Coturnix japonica: one gene and its partner. The protein of the gene in region 1 interacts with the protein of each later gene in a pairwise test. Links are inferred from orthologs where the notes say so. Each region holds a gene or a part of one and is shown on either strand. Other genes may lie near its edges.

The links.
Region 2: the proteins of KIFAP3 (region 1) and NCF2 interact in binary tests that used the Homo sapiens proteins (3 or more experiments, as listed by UniProt). The two-hybrid records come from large-scale screens. The link is inferred for Coturnix japonica from reciprocal best matches to the Homo sapiens genes KIFAP3 and NCF2.

What each region holds. Positions count from the first base shown.
Region 1 is NC_029523.1:6,618,869-6,623,267, forward strand, and holds the start of KIFAP3 (kinesin-associated protein 3), read right to left. Parts: upstream 2,940-4,399; 5' UTR 2,933-2,939; coding exon 2,808-2,932; intron 1-2,807. UniProt on the Homo sapiens protein: Involved in tethering the chromosomes to the spindle pole and in chromosome movement. Binds to the tail domain of the KIF3A/KIF3B heterodimer to form a heterotrimeric KIF3 complex and may regulate the membrane binding of this complex.
Region 2 is NC_029523.1:4,321,443-4,325,155, reverse strand, and holds the end of NCF2 (neutrophil cytosol factor 2), read right to left. Parts: intron 3,642-3,713; coding exon 3,500-3,641; intron 3,189-3,499; coding exon 3,126-3,188; intron 2,840-3,125; coding exon 2,764-2,839; intron 1,977-2,763; coding exon 1,933-1,976; intron 1,839-1,932; coding exon 1,687-1,838; intron 1,618-1,686; coding exon 1,506-1,617; intron 1,357-1,505; coding exon 1,200-1,356; intron 1,121-1,199; coding exon of another isoform or gene 1,098-1,120; exon of another isoform or gene 1,017-1,097; coding exon 919-1,016; 3' UTR 736-918; downstream 1-735. UniProt on the Homo sapiens protein: Subunit of the phagocyte NADPH oxidase complex that mediates the transfer of electrons from cytosolic NADPH to O2 to produce the superoxide anion (O2(-)).

The DNA of each region.
Region 1 (4,399 bases):
TGCACAATCTTCTAATTGATCTAGTGGTACAAGTACTGCCACTTACACATGAGACTTTTTGCTCTAAGACTAATGTAGTAGGCTTATCTAAACCTTATCTAAATGTTTTTAATATAACTTATTTTTATTATGAGATTTACAGATGACTTCACAAGCACTGTAAGTGAGGTGACAGCTAGTGGTGGCACAGGATCAATTAGATAAAGGAATATTCGTTATGCCTCTCACAGAGCTAAAAGCATTAGTAAATGTGGATGTAGCCTTCAGTGTAACCATTCAACAGAAGAAGCTGGGAAGGCATGACTTCTTTCATTCAGATGGTGTCTGCTTTTCCTCCTGCAGAGATGGAACTGCAAGAAGTACCTGCTTCTTGAGATACAGCCACCCAAATAACCCTGCAAAGGACCACTGTGAGAAGGAAAACACAGTTCAGCCACGAGCTTTACAAAGACATAAAACTACAGGGCAAACAAATAGAGGTCACTGTTATAAAACAACATCCTCCTTGAGGAGGCTGGAGCAAAACTCCATTCATTACTTAACACTTTTGAAGATATTTGTGTTTTCCTTTAACAGTATTTTGGAGCAGATGCTCCATGTCAGGCTGTTCTCATATAGAAGCCTCAGGAGGTTTAGTCTTCTGAAGCAAAAAGCTTGTGGGAATCTATTACAATAGAAACCAACACCCTACCTTTACTTCTAGATGTATTTCCCCCATATTTACACATAGAAGATCCTAACCACAAATGCTCCTCCTGACAGTCAAACCCCTACTAAGTGTTGCTAGGTCATTTATACAGACATAAAGAAAGGGTTGGGTGGTGGACAAGCAGGCCTGAAGGAGCAGTGGGTACAACAACTAATCCGAACTAGCAGCTTCTCACTGCAAAAAGAGTTCGATCTTCCCATGTTTTGCCACTTCCAGCAAGTCAACAGCAAACTTGTAACGTTTTGGACGGCAGCAGATTTTCCACGAGTTACTGAATTAAAGTGCTGTGTAAAAAGGGAATAATTTCTATCTACAAGCAGGGATAAAAATGAAGGCAGGAGATCCCTTTTTGGCAGCAGTAAGCTACTGATGAGCTTATTTACCAGCACAATCTCAGCCTAAGACTGCTTAAACAATTTTAACATTTCCTGTTGTTGTGTTGGTTTTTTTTACCCTTCCTTAAGAGGGACAGATGGGTGAGCTAAAGAACATACAGCTGCAGGGATTTTGTCCTCTCATCCTGATAACCACCCTCACTGAGCTACTTCCTGGCCATGTGATTCACAAATCAATTCACATTCAAGCTCTTCCTCTGAAATGCTGAAAAACCTACACTGAAATGCATCACACAGACACTAAACTCACACACTGTTTGGAGACCACTGTATTCAGAAAGCCAGCACCACAAAAGAATATGTATGTAAAGGCCCCCTCTTCCAAGCCTAATGAATAAACATATGCTTTATTGATTTTTCTATCCATTATGAGCATGCGAGCACCTAATAAATTCATAAACCATCTGAGCACACAGATGTTCTGTTAGAAGCAGAGTGTCTGTACACATCGGCCTGTCCTCCCCTTCACTGCCTGCTCTGTCAACCAGAATCCCACTCTATTCAAGCTCTGAAAGGAGGAAGGCCTTTCCTACACAGGCAGTGGCAGCTGAGCTCACATAGCCAAACGCCCTTTATGGACTGATTCCTTCGGGGGGAAAAAGCAAAATTAAACTATGCTAATTAAAAGTGGCACAAACCACACACGTGGATGAAGCTGAAAATACAGTCACAAATCCCAGCATGTCTGACACGGTGGGAAGGGGACTATACAAACAGGATGACAAAGGGAAACAGAGATGAGAGGAGCACTGGACTTGCACACAAGCCTTGTCATGTTAAGCAGCACAGCAGCTGTTTCTTGGTTCGTGTTCCCTAAAACAATAAAACAGTGCTTATTACAGAGATAACTACAAAAGAAGATTCCTGCAAGGTCACATAAGGTGGCACAAACAGAATGCGCAAAGCTAGAAATGGGCTCTGCCATGAAGTCACAGCTGCTTCCTTAGAAGCAGCCCTTCAATTTGTACCTGTTCCCACCATTCCCAATTAAGAGCCTCAGTATGTGACATACCAGGGGAAAAAAACCCAAACCCAGACAGCCCAACAGCAAGATCTGCAAATGCTGCTGAATGCCACAGAGCAGAAAGGGAAAATAGGACAAGGCATTCCATCAAATTCCAGATGAGATGGATAACATCACCCACACAGTGGAAGAAATCAAGCCTAAGGGAGGCCTTGGTGTTGTGACATCTGAGGGACTGTCAGCCAGAGCTTCTGCTCTACAGCAGCGTTGATCCTGCAGCTCCTTAACTGGACCTTATACTGTAGTCTGACTGGCCTGACCACCACACAGATAAAAGAGCCATTAATCCCTTAGGATCACTGATCCACCTGCTACCTTTCTCAGCCATTCTGTTCACATTCATCCCTCACCACCCACTACCTCAGCGCTCCATCCCACACAGACACCCCAAAATGCCACCAAACCCGGGGTCACTCCTCCAACCCTCCCCCATTTACCACCAGCATGCCACCACCCCATTCACCCCCAGCACAACCGGGCTGGCCGCGTGTGGGGGGATCCCCCAGCAGCACCACCACCACTCGACCCCCTTCCTACCCACCTACAAAGCGACCTCCCTCACCATCTCCACAGCTGCAGCCTCACCACAGCCCCCCCCCACCCCCACAGCGCAACCTCCTCACAGCAGATCGCTGCCTCCACCCGCTCCCCGAGCCCTCCAGCCGTTTCTCCCGATTACCTCTTGAGGTACCGGGCGTCCTCGCCCTGCATGGCGGCAGGGACGGCAGGGGCAGGGCGCGGCCCCGCAGCGGTGCTGTTACCAGGGTGAACGCCAGCCCCGCCCCAAGGCCCCTCAGTGCGCATGCGCAGCCGCCGCCACTGCCCGCATGCGCAGTGCTGCAGCCCAGCTACGCCTCACAGCCCGAGGCGGGAGGCCGCCCGTTCATCCCTTATTTGCTTTATTAAAGTAGAAACGCTTTCTGAGAACACCCACCCTTATGCAAAAAGCGTAATTCAGGTTATTTTTTACCCTCAAAATATGGCTGGGTGTCGTTAACCTGAATACACAGAAGCACCGTGTCACCAAGCAGCTCTTCATGTGGGAGCAACACCCGCCATTTGCTATAGTAACTTCACAGTAACTTATATTTCTTCCTATTTGTTCTCTCAGTTTAAGCCAAATAATCATAGTGGTAAACCAGGTTGAGGCTCAGCCTAAGTTTGAGGTTGTTTCCATGTGATGAGCTCTGTGTGGCCTTTGGTATATCATAGATGTATAGTTTAAATGCCTTGGGGTTGCTTGAAAATTTCATTGAATTCCAGCATTATCGTACAAAAAAAAGTAGCAAAATTGTTTTCCTATAGAAAATTTATTAAAATACGTGAGGTTTTTCCCTCATTGGAAATTAAAAAGCCCACCCTGAGGTTTGTGATCTCTCCTTCAACGACTGCATCTGCCTCTTAGATAGAAGAAAGTGTAAATTTAAGGGGAAAAAAAACAAACAGTGAATTTGGGGTCATCTTCTCACATCCCCTAAAAATGAACTGTGTAAATCTCAATAATGCCTTTTATTAGCTGAAATGAATGACAGAAATCTGAAAGGATGACTTTCAGGGTAAGTAATGATGCTGTGCTACCAGCGAGGGACTGAGATGATGTTGGTCTGATGTGCTCTCCCATTGGAAGCAGTTGAGGCATGGAGGTAATAAACATTGGGAGTTGGTGATGTGGAAAGCAGGCACTGAAAGTCTACAAGATAGTTAATGCGAGTTGCTACCACTTAACTCATATCCTAAGCAAGGCTAATCTAAAAGGCATTGGAATTTATAAGATTCACCACAACTGTGCTAATTACCTTTTTTCCCCCTAAAAGGTCAACACTTTAAGAGAGAATTTTGCTGCGAGGTGCACACAACTGAACAACAGATTGTGTGTTTCCAGTATGTTCTCTATGTTTAGAACTTTTGTATCTGATTTCTGCTTGTTTTCTAATGCACGACGTGAAACTCCATCCTTATCCAAAGTTACATGCTTTCAGTTTTTGTCACTTTAATTGCACTAAGGAAAACAGCTTAAATATAAAGCAGCATACAACAGCAGATTGTTTCTCTCAATATCATCTCGTGGGTGACAGTGATGCAGATTTCTTCCATAAAATCCTGCTTCCATTAACATCAATGAGTATTTTACCATTGACCCCAATGGGGACAGAATTGTACCACTTAACATTTATTAGATGCAGCGGGCAGAAAGCAGGCTCATGGCTATAAAGGCCATGGCATTTTATGGTTCTGACTCTGCAACCACTCAAGCACATGCTTAATTTTGCC
Region 2 (3,713 bases), about 2.3 Mb from region 1:
TCTCTGGGCTGTAAGTCAGCTGCAAAGCAAAGCACATGCAGGAGCCTAAATGACACTGGAGTCTGGGCAGCCCCAAAGAACATAAAAAGGGAAAACTGAGGCCCAGTACCCTTCTAAGGGTGTGAGCAGCTCCCCTACGTTCTCCACCTTAGCAACACCACCGTTTTTTGTTGCATTTCGAATATGTATTTCCTTTTAAAAAGTCCAAAAAGTGAAGTTTCCACCCAATGCTAATATTGACTCAGCCCCCCCCTCCCCTACCCCCCTTTCCCCACCCCTATCCCAGCCCCCTCAGTTTGTGTATTGAGCTGTGCACCCCGGCAGCTGCGACATTCCAGTGTTTGAACTGCCGCTGACTCTTGCACCCTCAGCGAGCTGACCCAGGTTCACCACCTCACTCCTGGCAGTGCCAGGTCCCAGCGCACCGCTCCACTTGTGCATGAGAACCCGGTGTCAGGAACACGGCCGGCTCTGGGCTGGGACCCCCATCCTGCCCTCCGGTGCCTGGGGGAGCGAGGGAAGGGACCCCAACAGAAACTGGTTTGTGTCGTAAGCTTTTTTTGTGTTATTTGTCTGTCTGTGCAAGAACTGCAGCTGCTGAAATCAGCTTTGCCTTTAATTAAACCATGTTCTCTTCATCCAGGTCTGTGTGGTTACGTTTATTTCCCCCCATGTAACTGAGCTGCGGGCTTTGAAAAACACATTATTACATTATTTTTCTGGAGAAAATTGAAAGAAGGTTTAAAGTTTTATTTTATTTTCCAATTTGAAAGAAAATGAAATAAATTGCAAAGATGTTTTATTTTCCTGCTTTTGCACTTTTAGGTCTGTTTTCAGATGCAGTAATTAACATGGGAACTTCTTATTTGCAGCACTTGAATTCTTAATTTCTTTCAGTCTCCTTAAACTCTTCTGAAATCACATTTCTGGGTCTTTAGTGTTACCATCTCGAACAAAAGCAGAGGGGAAGATGCCGATCTTTCCATTGCATTGCCCTTCCAACCAGTCTTCGTTCACTGCAAGATAAAATTGATGCCATTTTTGTCACCCTAGGGATGTGCAGGAGCACCATTACCCTCTTGTGCTGCAGGCAGGCCTCAGATCAGAACGTTAAGATCATCTGCAGGAAAATAGCAATGTAACATTACAAAACCATGACAATAGCCTCCCCTCTCCCACAGTGGCAGGAGCACCATTACCTTTGGATAAAACAAGTATCACATCTCCTGCCTGAAACTCCAGGTCTTCGGGTTGGGTGGCCTCATAACTGTACTGTGCTACCACTTGGCTTGGTCCTGTCTCTGCTGTTGCCTTCTGTGGCTCCTCTGGTTTGCTGTCAGGTAAAAATCCCTCTCCCTAGGGCAGGAAAGAAGCTGGTGAAGTCACCATGCGGCTTCTGCTTTGTTCCAGATCATGGCAGATAAGCTCTGCTTAGGCTTCATCCTCTGCCATTGAGCCCCTTGCCGGCACCAGTAGAAGAGCTGGTGGCTGGTGCTGCCACCCACCTCTGTGCAGTCACACCACACTGTCAGGCACTGATCCTTGCTGTGGCTCCAAGCTGCCTCCAGGTTCTGCATGCTCAGAGTCACCAGCTCTTTGCTGACTGCAGACTTGTACCTGGGCACCAGAGGACACAGGTAAGGGGAGAGCCACGAAAACTTGACTCCTGCAGCAGACAGTTCTCACCTCAGCATTGTGTGCTCAGGTTGCAGCTCCAGCTTGTCACAAATGAGGCCCAGGAGCTCCTTGTAGGACAGGTCTGGTTTGACTTGCATGGCAACCGTGTATTTGTAATGCACCTTGACAATATAGGGCTTGGGGACAGCCGGTTCGGTTTCCTGCAGGTGGTGAATTGGGGCATCAGGCTTCTCTCCCAAGCTGTATGTGATGTGGATCTGGGCTCTACCTTTTCACTGCAGCACAAGGTCTTACCTTATTGGCTTCTCTCTGCTGCGCTGATGTAACAGGAATGAAATCTGAGGAGGAAGGAAAAGATGGGTCAACAAGTGGAGCACAGTGTAAGCTTTACTGCTGTGGGCATAAATGTGATTCCAGATCCTCTCAGCCCTTCTCTTCAACACCTGCTGTTATCTGTAGCACCACCCAGCCCTGGAGCCGGCTGTGGTTGCCCAAACAGATCAGTATCAGCTACAGTGAGGTTCTTCTGTGGGGTTCCTCAGTAACCACAAAGAGGCCAGGGCTCTGCCTTGCCTGCTGTTGTTTCAGGTGGTCACTGTGCTCACAATGTAGGGCCTGTTCAGTGTTTGTAGGGATTGGAGCTTTAGGTGCGATGCTGTTCCTCTGTGGGCTTTGATGTTACTGATGCATTTGCAAGCACAAAAAGCACAAACAACAATGTATCTTGCCCTCTGTCATATAGTTGCTTCTGGCCCCAGCCCTACCCCAGGTGCTGAGAAGCACCAGCAGCACATCTTCCCAGCGCAGTCGTAGCTCCCAGCTGCCCTGCTGTATGGAGAAGCCTGTAATGCATGTTGTGCTCTGGGACTTATGCAAGCTGGGTCACTTGCCCTGTTGTTTTCCCCAGGCCCTTTTTCCCATTAGCTGCTGCCCTAATTAAGAGCAAAAAGGGGACCTCGAGCTTTGTTGTTGTTCCATCCTCGGTGCTGCAGCTGCAGCATTGCCTCCTGATTTAAACCCACGCTATAAAAGAGGCAGAGATGGCCCCCAGCCCTGGTTCTCCATATCACAGTACACAAGAGACTGTCCCTGCAGTTCCCCCATCCCTCCCCTCCATACACTGACCTGGTGCTGGCCGCCGGGGCCTTGGAGCGGTGCTGCTGGGTGGCTCAGGGATGTCGGGCTCGGGAGGGGCCTCCTCCTGTGCCAGTGTGAAAAGGACAGTGCAGGCAGTCAGCATCCCTAAGGGGAGCAGGCACAGCCCAGGGGTGCTGCTGCCTTGGGGACCCCGTCCTGCTACTCAAGGCAGGAGTCCTGGGGCTAAGCTTTGCCTGCTGTCCATTGATTTGGGGTGGAACAGGGCAGTAGCCATGAGATAGCCATGAGCCAGGAGTCCCACAGCATTGTAAGAGAGATTTGCAGGCATGGATCCTGCTGGGTGATCTATGTGGTTTCCTGGGGCCACCAGCTCCTCCTGGGCTCCTTACCTGGACGTGCAGCTTGTGCTGGAGCTCCATGGGCTCAAGGAAGTTGCAGGGGACGATCCCTTTCTGCAGGGAAGAGACAAAGGGAACAGATGGTGTTAGTCGACCGTCCAGGAGATTGAAGGAATGATTTCTGTATGGCACCCCAAGATGGGCAGCAAGGGTGAACCAGCTCACTTTATTGCCTTGAGCACATGTGGTCAGGCAAACAAAGCAGCACATCTGGCCCCTGCCTGGTAGGAGCAACAGGAGCAGGACACCAGGAGGTTGCCTCTACCAGCTCATAGCCCCTCAAATAGGGGATGCAAGGAAACTGGGTTCAGAAACTCCTTCCAGGCCTCTGTAAATCTCCCTTTTGTGCCAGGCAGACCCCCTACCTTCCCATTGAACATCACCGTAGCCCAGTTGTCCTTCTCTTTCTTCAGGACAAAGACGATGTTTCCTGGCAGGACCTGCAGCTCCTCAGCAGTTTCAGGGATGAACTCATACAGGACACGGTGTGGCTGCCCTTCAAGAGCCCTGGGAATGGAAGCCAGCATCATGTCAGGAGCAGGGGGTGATGCTACTGTTCTACCTCATAGGGGGGCCTAA